Linked DNA regions of Danio rerio. The protein of the gene in region 1 interacts with the protein of each later gene in a biochemical or structural test. Links are inferred from orthologs where the notes say so. Each region holds a gene or a part of one and is shown on either strand. Other genes may lie near its edges. The genes, in order: med1, vdrb and hnf4a.

Region 1 (3,668 bases):
TTAATTTGCTGTGGAATAAGATGAGAAAAAGATATTGCAATGCAAGTCACTGGAACTGAAAGCACTTTATGATTTAATAAACAGAAATGGACACCATACTTGTCTCCAGGGAGATTGTACAGGTTGACCAGACCCTTCAGGTGTTTGGAAAACTCATCAAAATTCTTGTCTCTGTAAAACAAATGTTTATGTTTAATGCTGTGTTACCGTACATTAACAACTTTACAGTTGGAGTTAAATAACACACACACACACACACACATATATACACATATATATACACATACACATATATATATATATATATATATATATATATATATATATATATATATATATATATATATATATATATATATATATATATATATACATATATATATACAGACACACATATATATATATATATATATATATATACACACACACACACACACATATATATATATATATACACACATATATATATATATATATATATATATATACACATATATACACACACACACACACACACACATATACATTATATATATATATATATATATATATATATAAATCTGTCAAAATTAGTGCGTTAACGCATGTGATTAATTTTAAATAATTAACGCGTTAAAAAAACGCAGTTGCAGGTTTTTTTTACTTCCTGTTGTGGTGGACGTGTGTTTAACATGCAAGAAATGTGGACAAGACCAAGGAAGCACTTTTTGAAGGCAAGTTTCAGTATAAAACAATTAATGTCTCATCACCAGGTTATCCAGAGTTTCGTGCAATTTCGGATGTTTAATTTTTAACTTTCGACTTCTGTTGTAAGTTGATACCGCATGGCGAACAGAAAGAAAATCTTCCGCATTTCGTGACTCAGTATTCCTTTAAGGTAATAAAATAGCTGCTTAGGCTACACTGTAGACTTTTAATAAGAGTGTAATCTTAGTCATATTAAAATCGGAGTATTGGTGTCTTATGTAACTGTACTCAGAAAGTCTTTGGTGAAGTCACAAGCTGTCAAAGACAGGCCATTACTCTGCCTTTCAGCATGAGCCCTCCAAGTATTGCATGTTTCCTCATTAAACGCAACGAAAGCGTATGCTTCACGTTGTTGTGTCAGAATCCTTGTAAAATACAATAATACTTTAGAACGCTTAATTTAAGCAAATTTGATAAACGCAATGCGTGTTGAATCTAAAGGGAATCGCTCCAGCTCGTTGTGTGTGTGTCTGTGTCATATTTGTATTCAATAGTTTATTATTATAATTTTACATTTCCATACATGTAATGCCTGCATTTTGGCATTTTTTTGCAGTCCACTTACAATCCAACATGGAAATCAATGTTTTTTTGTTGGCATTGATTGTTTTGAAATTCAAATGGCATTAACATGCCTGCGTTTTAATTTCTGTAATAAATATGGCTGTCAAGCCAGGATCTTGATGGTTTATTGTGGGTATGTTGTTTACATGAAGAAATCTTTGTTACAAGTTAAATATTCATTCATTTTCTTGTAGGCTTAGTCCCTTTATTAATCCGGGGTCACCACAGCGGAATGGACCGCCAACTTATCCAGCAAGTTTTTACGCAGCGGATGCCCTTCCAGCCGCAACCCATCTCTGGGAAAACAAGTTAAACAAAAATTCTAATAAACAATTATATTTTGAATCTAAATAGTTTTTGTCTTGCGTTTACATAAATTTTACATTTGAATAGCCAAAATTACAAGTTTCAGTCTTTTAAATGCGATTAATCGCATTTAGTTAGTTAATTAGTTAATTTTTTAAAATCGATTGACAGCACTAATATATATATATATATATATATATATATATATATATATAGATATATATTTACTGTGAAGAAGTCAGTAGGTGAACGGTAATGCAATACAGCAAATATTTTATTTATCTTTTAAATGATGCACAACATTCTGTCGACCATCATAAGTAAATTGTTTTGATATCAAAACCTAGAAATTTTAAGGTTAGTATTTTGTTGTATGAAGTGTGTTTGATAGGGCAACAGCAATTACATTCACTTAAAAGTGTTTTGTCGTCCCAAACAGCAATTTATCCATTAACAGAAATGCATACACCCTTTTGCATAGTTTTACTTTTCTTTAAAATGGGTTTCTTACCGTAAATGCTGTATCAGCTCAGGACAACTCTACATGACAATAAGAAATAAAATCAAATGTAAGTGGACAGAAAAAATACATCAAATAGATATATTTACAATAGCCACATCTCCCTCTCACCACAGGATTTTCACCATGGTGGGCCACTTTTACATCCATGAGCTTTCCACTTTTATCCATATGCACCTCAACGTAGAACATATCAGAGGTGATATAGCATTCAGTATGTGAAGGACTCAGGTGAGATCCCAACCTGCAGCCATACATCATTAAAAGAAAAGAAAGACAAACATATATTAACTTATTAAAAGGTATGTCCTAAACTACAGTTAGATCAAGTAGAATAAAGTAGAAAAAATGCTAGGTATGTATAATATGTATGGGTATGGGTTTCCAAAGCTTAAGTGAGCATTGCTTTGCTTTCAGAAAATCATGTGAACTTTGATGAAGCCTCAATTTTCGTTCAATGACTTATAAAACTGCCTTCCTTTTTAAAGGTGCAAATTTAAATATCTGAATAAGAGAATCCTCTTATTTGTATGCTTTAAAAAGAAATGGTGCATAATACCAAATTTATAGTAACATGAAATAGTTAAAGCTATCCAACCGTTCTGGGGCTCAGGTGTGGGGCACTTTTTTACAATATACAAAGCAGTTCAAAGTAAATGCACTAATATATTTGATTTAGCAAAGCACTTGACAGACTGACATGCAGAGTTCTATAAACACCCTTACAGAAAAGTCACATGAATTTCATGTGATCACATGTGACAATCCACTGTGTTCACAACTTTATAATTTAGAATGTGTAAAGAATCTTCACTATACATAACGTTAACAACTGGTTCTGCAAGCACAAAAAACTAATGTTAATTTTAATCAAACTTGATTTTAAGTTATTTGGAAAAAAATACATCACCTATAATGCTGTTCAGAATATTTGACCATTCAGTGAGTGATGCCAGTCAAAACCACGCCAAAAAATAAAATAAATAAGTAAATAAAATTCAAGCACCTTTAATTGCAATTGATGCAACTGTAATAGTGATGTATCAGTTTGTATGTATCCAGTTTTCTCTTTAAACACCTTAATTAAAATTTGATTGAATAGAGTTGATTATGCTTAAATGTCAGTTTATATTAAATAAAATAAATTTAGTACTTTTTTCCAAAAAGAGCTTCAACCCTTAGATCCCCTTATAAAGAACCTGCCTTTGACAGTACAACGCTTAAAGGAGATAGTCCAAAGACTCAGCAGATGCTAACAGCTCTTTTTGTAAATGATAATTGTTCTTCCAAAGACAATTTAAATGTCTTAAAAGTAAATAATAATACAAAATAGCTTTTATGGTGAGCAGTATCTACTTATTTAATTTATGTATCTCATTACAAAAGTTTTGAATGTCTAATAATTCATATTGAATTTCAGCACCTGAAGCCCTAAAGTGTGCTGAAGAAATCAACTGCATAAGTCCTCCGTCTTATTTTAAGCCATGTTAAAACTGAAATAAAAAAGGTACGATTTTTTATTTAAATGAAC
Region 2 (3,668 bases), on another chromosome or scaffold:
CCCGGGGGAAACCCACGCGGACACGGGGAGAACATGCAAACTCCATACAGAAATACCAGATGGCTCAGCGAGGACCCTACACCATTGGTATTCTTGCTGTGAGGCAACAGTGCTAGTCACTGGGCCACCGTGCCGCCCATTCTGGATCAAGGAGGAAGAAGGGGAGGAGGGGGGTTTCTTCCAGACGATGATAAGTTGTAGAAAGGAAATGAGGATATTTATAGTGATTTGGGATCCTTTGATTGGAGGATCATAATTAGCTAATGTGGACCAGCTGGGTCAATCATGAGCACATGCTCCTTTTGAAATTAGTTTAAAATTAAACTTCACTTAATGTAAATATGTGTTTATTGAACCTGTTTAGCCTCTTCAAATCGCAATTTAGTAAATAAAGCCCCTCTTCTTCTTCAATTCCAATTAAAACGAGCTCTTGATTTTCTCAAAAAGAAACCAAGTCTTAGTTTCTAAAATACTGCCCTGACACACTCAATCACGCAATCAAAACTTTACCTAAATCCAGGAATCATCTTGGCAAAGCCAATGACTTTTTGAATGCTGTAAGAAACCAGGTCGGCCAGATGAGGAAGCATGGAGAGACTGGAGCCATCCTCCTCCTTTGAGTCGGGACTGGAGCTCAAGCCCTGCTCCTGGTACATCATCAGCAGGTTACTCAGATTCATCTTACGATCGCCTGACTCTACGTATGCAAAGACAGACACAAACAGACACATTACCAACAATTCATGTTGTGTCAAGTAGTAACTAATTACAAATATTCAAATTACTCCCACCAAGTATTTTTTTCCTCAGGAATTGTACTTTACTGAGTAGTAGTGTTGTTTTTGTCTGAATGCTTTCTGAATGTTGACTAAAGGATTTACACTCCAAACAGATGCCAACAAATCACCAGAAATGTGATATCTCTATGACTGTACTGAAATGAAATAAATAGAATAAACATTTTGTGCTGACTGACAGAAACGTTGGAAGGCCAAGGGGGTGGGGGGGAGCAGAGTCACTGGCAAAGAACAAAATCATCAGGCTGACTATATCGAGATACTGGGCTGATAACTGTGTCCTGTTTGCAGATTAACGCAAGTGTTATCTCCCTCTTGTGTCCCTTCCAACATCTGACAACAGACTAACATAATACAGAAGAATAGTGGATTTATTATATTCAATTATTAGGTAAATAGAATGAAGAAAAGTATAGATTTCATTTGCTGTCATTAATATGCATTATGAAGTTTGTCTGCACAATACTTCTGGAGTATATCACTCGAAACCATTTTTAATATGTGTATTCATCATATTTAAACCATTTTAATTAGGTTTTGTTGTTAATAAGTCATACGCATCTTGTTTTAAATCAGAGAAGTGTGCAGAGAGTGTCAGTCGATAAGGTTAAAACTATTTTTAAAGTTCATGAGGAAATCAAATCAGGTAATAGTCTTGTAAACATTTACATTTGGGGTTAAAAAAGGTAATATTTTCCAAAAGCATGCATCATTAAATGTTTTAAATAGTTGTGTTTGTAAATCAGATTTATTCCACCATACAAAACTTTCTTGACTGCTTTGAAGTTAAAACATTGGTGTTGTTTTGTCTTTTTAGTTATTGCATGTAAATATCTCTAGATTATATATTATTTAAAAATTGTGAGAGAGAGTTATAATTTTATTGCCATTTCAGCTTTTATGGCTATGTCATGGCAAAAAAAACTATCAAGTTTACTACATTTTACAATTACAGATTTTCTAAAATTATAAAAACATTCTAACAATTAAAAGTCATCAACAGCAATAAATAATATACAAGGTAAAATACATAAATAATAATTATAATAATAAGATAAAAATCAAAAACAGTTTTTAAGGTTTCCTTTTGATAATAATTGCACAATTTTAGATTTAAAAATATTTTATTTAAAGTCTCTCCAGATAAAAATTGTTGTCTGATAACATTTAAAATGGGGGATTCAACAAGAATATGTTTTTTAAATTGTGAAGAAATATCTTTAGTTTACAGAATAAAATTAAAAATCAAATCAAATCTAGAGTAACTCAGAAATCAAGTGGCAAATCAAGTATATATATATGGCTGCACAATACATTGTTCAATCATCCACTTCGCAATGTGTGTGTCCGCAATAGTCACATCGTAAGAGATGCAATGTTGAGTTATGAATAGAGATGACCAGAATCCACAGGTCAAAAACACGAGATTTGTGGAGACACTGCAGAATTGAACCACTATAGAGAGAAACTTTGATGCCGTGTTCACACCAGACACAGCACTTGTGAATAAATCGCACTAATCGCACGTAAATAGACAAGAAAACATTTTGAGTTAACTTGTTTCATTCGTGCATCAAATTCACTTCACAACAGACGCAGATTTGCATCATGGGGAGGGCTTCTGTCTGCCCGCTCACCCTAGTTCAGTAGCTAAACGACTAACATGGATTTTATTGCGATAGTAACCGTTTTTCAGCCTTCCTAAAGCACATAAATGTAGATTCGTTTAGTGTGGTGTCTGAGTGCACTAGATCCTTTCAGAGGTGCACTCAGCACTGTGAGTTTATCAACTTCTGCAGAAACTATACCAGAATGATGGAGGCTTTAAGCGGTGCTTCCGACTGAACTGAGCCCGGTTTGATGAGCTGTTGTGTAGTGTGGGCAAGAGGAATTCCCCTTGGGACATCAACAACTGGCACTACTTAATAATCACGCTCCTACAAGAGCAAGCTTCTGATTGGCTAATGCGGCGCCTCATTCGCATGAATTGTGCTGCAGGATGTTGGCTTAAAAATATATATATATATATATATATATATATATATATATATATATATATATATATATATATATATATATATATATATATTAAATTATTAAAAAAATCTACTGAAAAGGTGTACATTTCATTTGCTGCCATTAAAATGCATTATGTACATTGTCTGCACAATAATCACACCTGTGGATTATATCATTTGATATTGGAATTGCGATTTTTAATTAAATCTTTTATTAATATATCATATGCAGCTTGCATTAAAGAAGTGTTGCCTTTCCTGCATGTTTACACAGGTAGTTGAAACTGCTTGAGCCGCAGCTTCACACAAACCCCCTGACCATCACAAATGCCTTCATTACAATAAACAAGACTGTCAACACATCTGAAGAAATCTCTTATTTACAAAGAGAAACAAATGGCACATTTTCATGAAACCAGCAGTTATCGTTTAATAATGTATTATTCCGTTTTCACCATTACCTTAAATAAGCATCAGTCAGAAAATTAATCAGAAATTATATATAAAAAGGAAGCTCACCAGTAGGTTATTCATCAAATTTTCTGGTGATAATTTACACTGCATCATTTCCAATTTAGAGGGGGAAAAAAATTGCACTGGTGTAGAGAAATAACCTAAAATAGACTATTGGTGACTAAATTGTCTAGCAATGATTACATTAAACTGAACAAGACATAAGAAATATGAATATATCTTTTAGTGATGCAACCATTAACTGATTTCACTATTAACCGTACTTTAATTTGTTACGATTAATTAATTAAAAGCTTCTCCAGACTTAGTCTCAGTATGGAACAAAACTGCTGCAACTAACAAAGTTACGCTAGTTTATAGTTCCGAGATTGTACACGGA
Region 3 (2,497 bases), on another chromosome or scaffold:
AAAAAGAAAGTCTTAATGAATTTGTATTTTTATATCCAGAATTCTCTCAGTACTGTGAATTAATTAAACATTAAAACCTTTTTTTATTAAGGACTGCAAGTAAATAACTGTAACTGGGCAGCTGGTTACAAAAAATAAAACAATTTACTTATTTTTTCAGCCTTTCTTGTGAAACATTCATTTTGAAAATTCACAGATAACAATATTATATTTCAAAATTAGATATACTGTGTATGTGATTGTCCACACACGGGTGAATTAATCATTAAGTTATTGGAATTAAATTGAAAGATGCAATATACAAATGAAGGAACATGGTGATTAAAAAAAGAATACCACAACTTTGAAAATCGAGAACTCAACAATGAAGAAAATGAAAGCTTCTGTTGTTGATTTAAGGAAGCTCTGGAGTTTTATTAGGTTGCCTATTTGAATGAAAGGTACCCAAAGCAATAGATCGGCCGCCAGGCAGCCTGTGACAGAGCACTTCATCACTGGCCTCCAAGAAGCCCTGACCTCACCCCCTCAGTTTTTTTCAATAGGGTACGTTAAAAATATGGTTTACCACCTCTACTAGCTAACATTGAGGAACTAAAAGAAGAAATAACTGCAGCTATCCAATCTGTTATGCCCGAGATGCTAAAGAGAGTGTGGAATGAGTTCGAATAACAGGTTGATGTCACGAGTGTCTGAAGGGGGTCATATTGAACATCTATGAACTTGTTTTCTACTGAAAAAAAAAACGTTGTTAAGTACTCATCACATGGATTGATTATACGAAGTTCCATCATGTTTCTTTGATTAAATTTTCAAAGTTGTGGTATTCTTTTTGAATCTCCCCATTATTATTATATTCATTAAAGAAAGTAAAAATTTTGAGCAGCTGTGGTGGTCTCATAAATATGTTAGTGGTCTAATAATATTGTTATGCACTGTTTATAAGTAATAATAATAAGATTTAGTAGTAATGTTTATGTTTAAGAGATGTATAGCAAAATACTTATAAAGTATATACCCTCATATAGATTTCATCACCGGGTCCAATCTTGAATGGTGATATCAGAACAAAAAAGGTAGCCGCAATAATGGATGTGTGTGAGTCTATGAAACAGCAGCTGCTGGTGCTGGTGGAATGGGCAAAATACATCCCTGCATTCTGCGACCTCCCGCTGGATGATCAGGTAGGACAAGTTCCTCTTATTTATCTACAAATGTGTCCTTGCAATATTTACTTAAATGCATGTTGGTGTCGACTGAATCCGTGTTTTGTTTTCATTGGAAAAAAAGTTCAGAGATCTCTAGTTTGGGTGGTTAATGTATTTGGATGGCTCAGGTTAGAATATGATGAGCTGGTTTGAAAGTTACATCTCTTCTTGAGACATTCAGAATCATTAACACGCTGAGCACTGAGGCATGCTAACTTATCAGTGTTTTAGCTGTGGGTGAGAGCGTCTCAAACCGCATCTTCTCACACATGGAGACACGCTAAGACTAACCATATGGTCATCATAGAGACTTTAAACAATTCATTGATTTTATATGAAATATTCTAGACATGAAAAGAACTCTAAAGAAAATGTAAAAAAATAATAATATATTTCCATGTTTATTTGTCTCAGGTGGCTTTACTGCGAGCTCACGCTGGAGAACACCTCCTACTAGGAGCTGCCAAACGCTCCATGATGTATAAAGACATTTTACTATTAGGTAAGAAAAGACACATGCGAATATGAGTAGAGGCTTCAAACAATTTAACTAATGTTTTACCTTACATTTTTCCATGATTCTTGCAGGCAATGATCATATAATTCCTCGAAACTGCCCTGAATTGGAGGTGAGCCGTGTGGCTGTAAGAATCCTTGATGAGTTAGTACTTCCCTTCCAAGATCTCCAGATTGATGACAATGAATACGCCTGCTTAAAAGCCATTGTATTTTTCGATCCAGGTACATTAATCATCCTTAAAATGAGATAAGAAGAGCAGAATGTCAAGACTTTTTTTCCTAATGTGATGTTTTTTCTCAACTACTATAGACGCCAAAGGTTTAAGTGACCCAAGCAAGATCAAACGAATGCGGTATCAAGTTCAAGTTAGTTTGGAAGATTACATCAATGACCGACAGTATGACTCGCGGGGACGGTTCGGCGAGCTGCTTCTGCTGTTGCCGACACTACAGAGCATCACCTGGCAAATGATCGAGCAAATCCAGTTTGTTAAATTGTTTGGAATGGCGAAGATAGACAATCTGCTGCAAGAGATGCTTTTAGGAGGTAAATGACTTTTCTTGAAAAGACTTTGTTACAGCAATATGTTTAGAATTTAAGGCTCAATATGTAATTTTCCCCACTAGAGACTGTGGATTCACAAAAAACAAAGGCATAGTTTGATGATCTCCTGACAGTGTGAAATAATGGGAGTTTTCGTCTTCATTACACTCCTGTAGAAATTATGTTCATGGATGAGCTAAAGTATTTAAACTAATTTTCATGGTAGTGT

Evidence for each region.
Region 2: the proteins of med1 (region 1) and vdrb form a complex in vitro, tested with the Homo sapiens proteins (5 studies listed by BioGRID). The link is inferred for Danio rerio from reciprocal best matches to the Homo sapiens genes MED1 and VDR.
Region 3: the proteins of med1 (region 1) and hnf4a form a complex in vitro, tested with the Homo sapiens proteins (2 studies listed by BioGRID). The link is inferred for Danio rerio from reciprocal best matches to the Homo sapiens genes MED1 and HNF4A.

What each region holds. Positions count from the first base shown.
Region 1 is NC_133187.1:16,863,588-16,867,255, reverse strand, and holds part of med1 (mediator of RNA polymerase II transcription subunit 1), read right to left. Parts: intron 2,382-3,668; coding exon 2,249-2,381; intron 2,158-2,248; coding exon 2,129-2,157; intron 172-2,128; coding exon 100-171; intron 9-99; coding exon 1-8. UniProt on the Homo sapiens protein: Component of the Mediator complex, a coactivator involved in the regulated transcription of nearly all RNA polymerase II-dependent genes.
Region 2 is NC_133181.1:41,513,277-41,516,944, forward strand, and holds part of vdrb (vitamin D3 receptor B), read right to left. Parts: intron 698-3,668; coding exon 511-697; intron 1-510.
Region 3 is NC_133198.1:28,803,646-28,806,142, forward strand, and holds part of hnf4a (hepatocyte nuclear factor 4-alpha), read left to right. Parts: intron 1-1,025; coding exon 1,026-1,181; intron 1,182-1,619; coding exon 1,620-1,707; intron 1,708-1,767; exon of another isoform or gene 1,768-1,793; coding exon 1,794-1,946; exon of another isoform or gene 1,947-1,960; intron 1,961-2,034; coding exon 2,035-2,271; intron 2,272-2,497. UniProt on the Homo sapiens protein: Transcriptional regulator which controls the expression of hepatic genes during the transition of endodermal cells to hepatic progenitor cells, facilitating the recruitment of RNA pol II to the promoters of target genes. Activates the transcription of CYP2C38.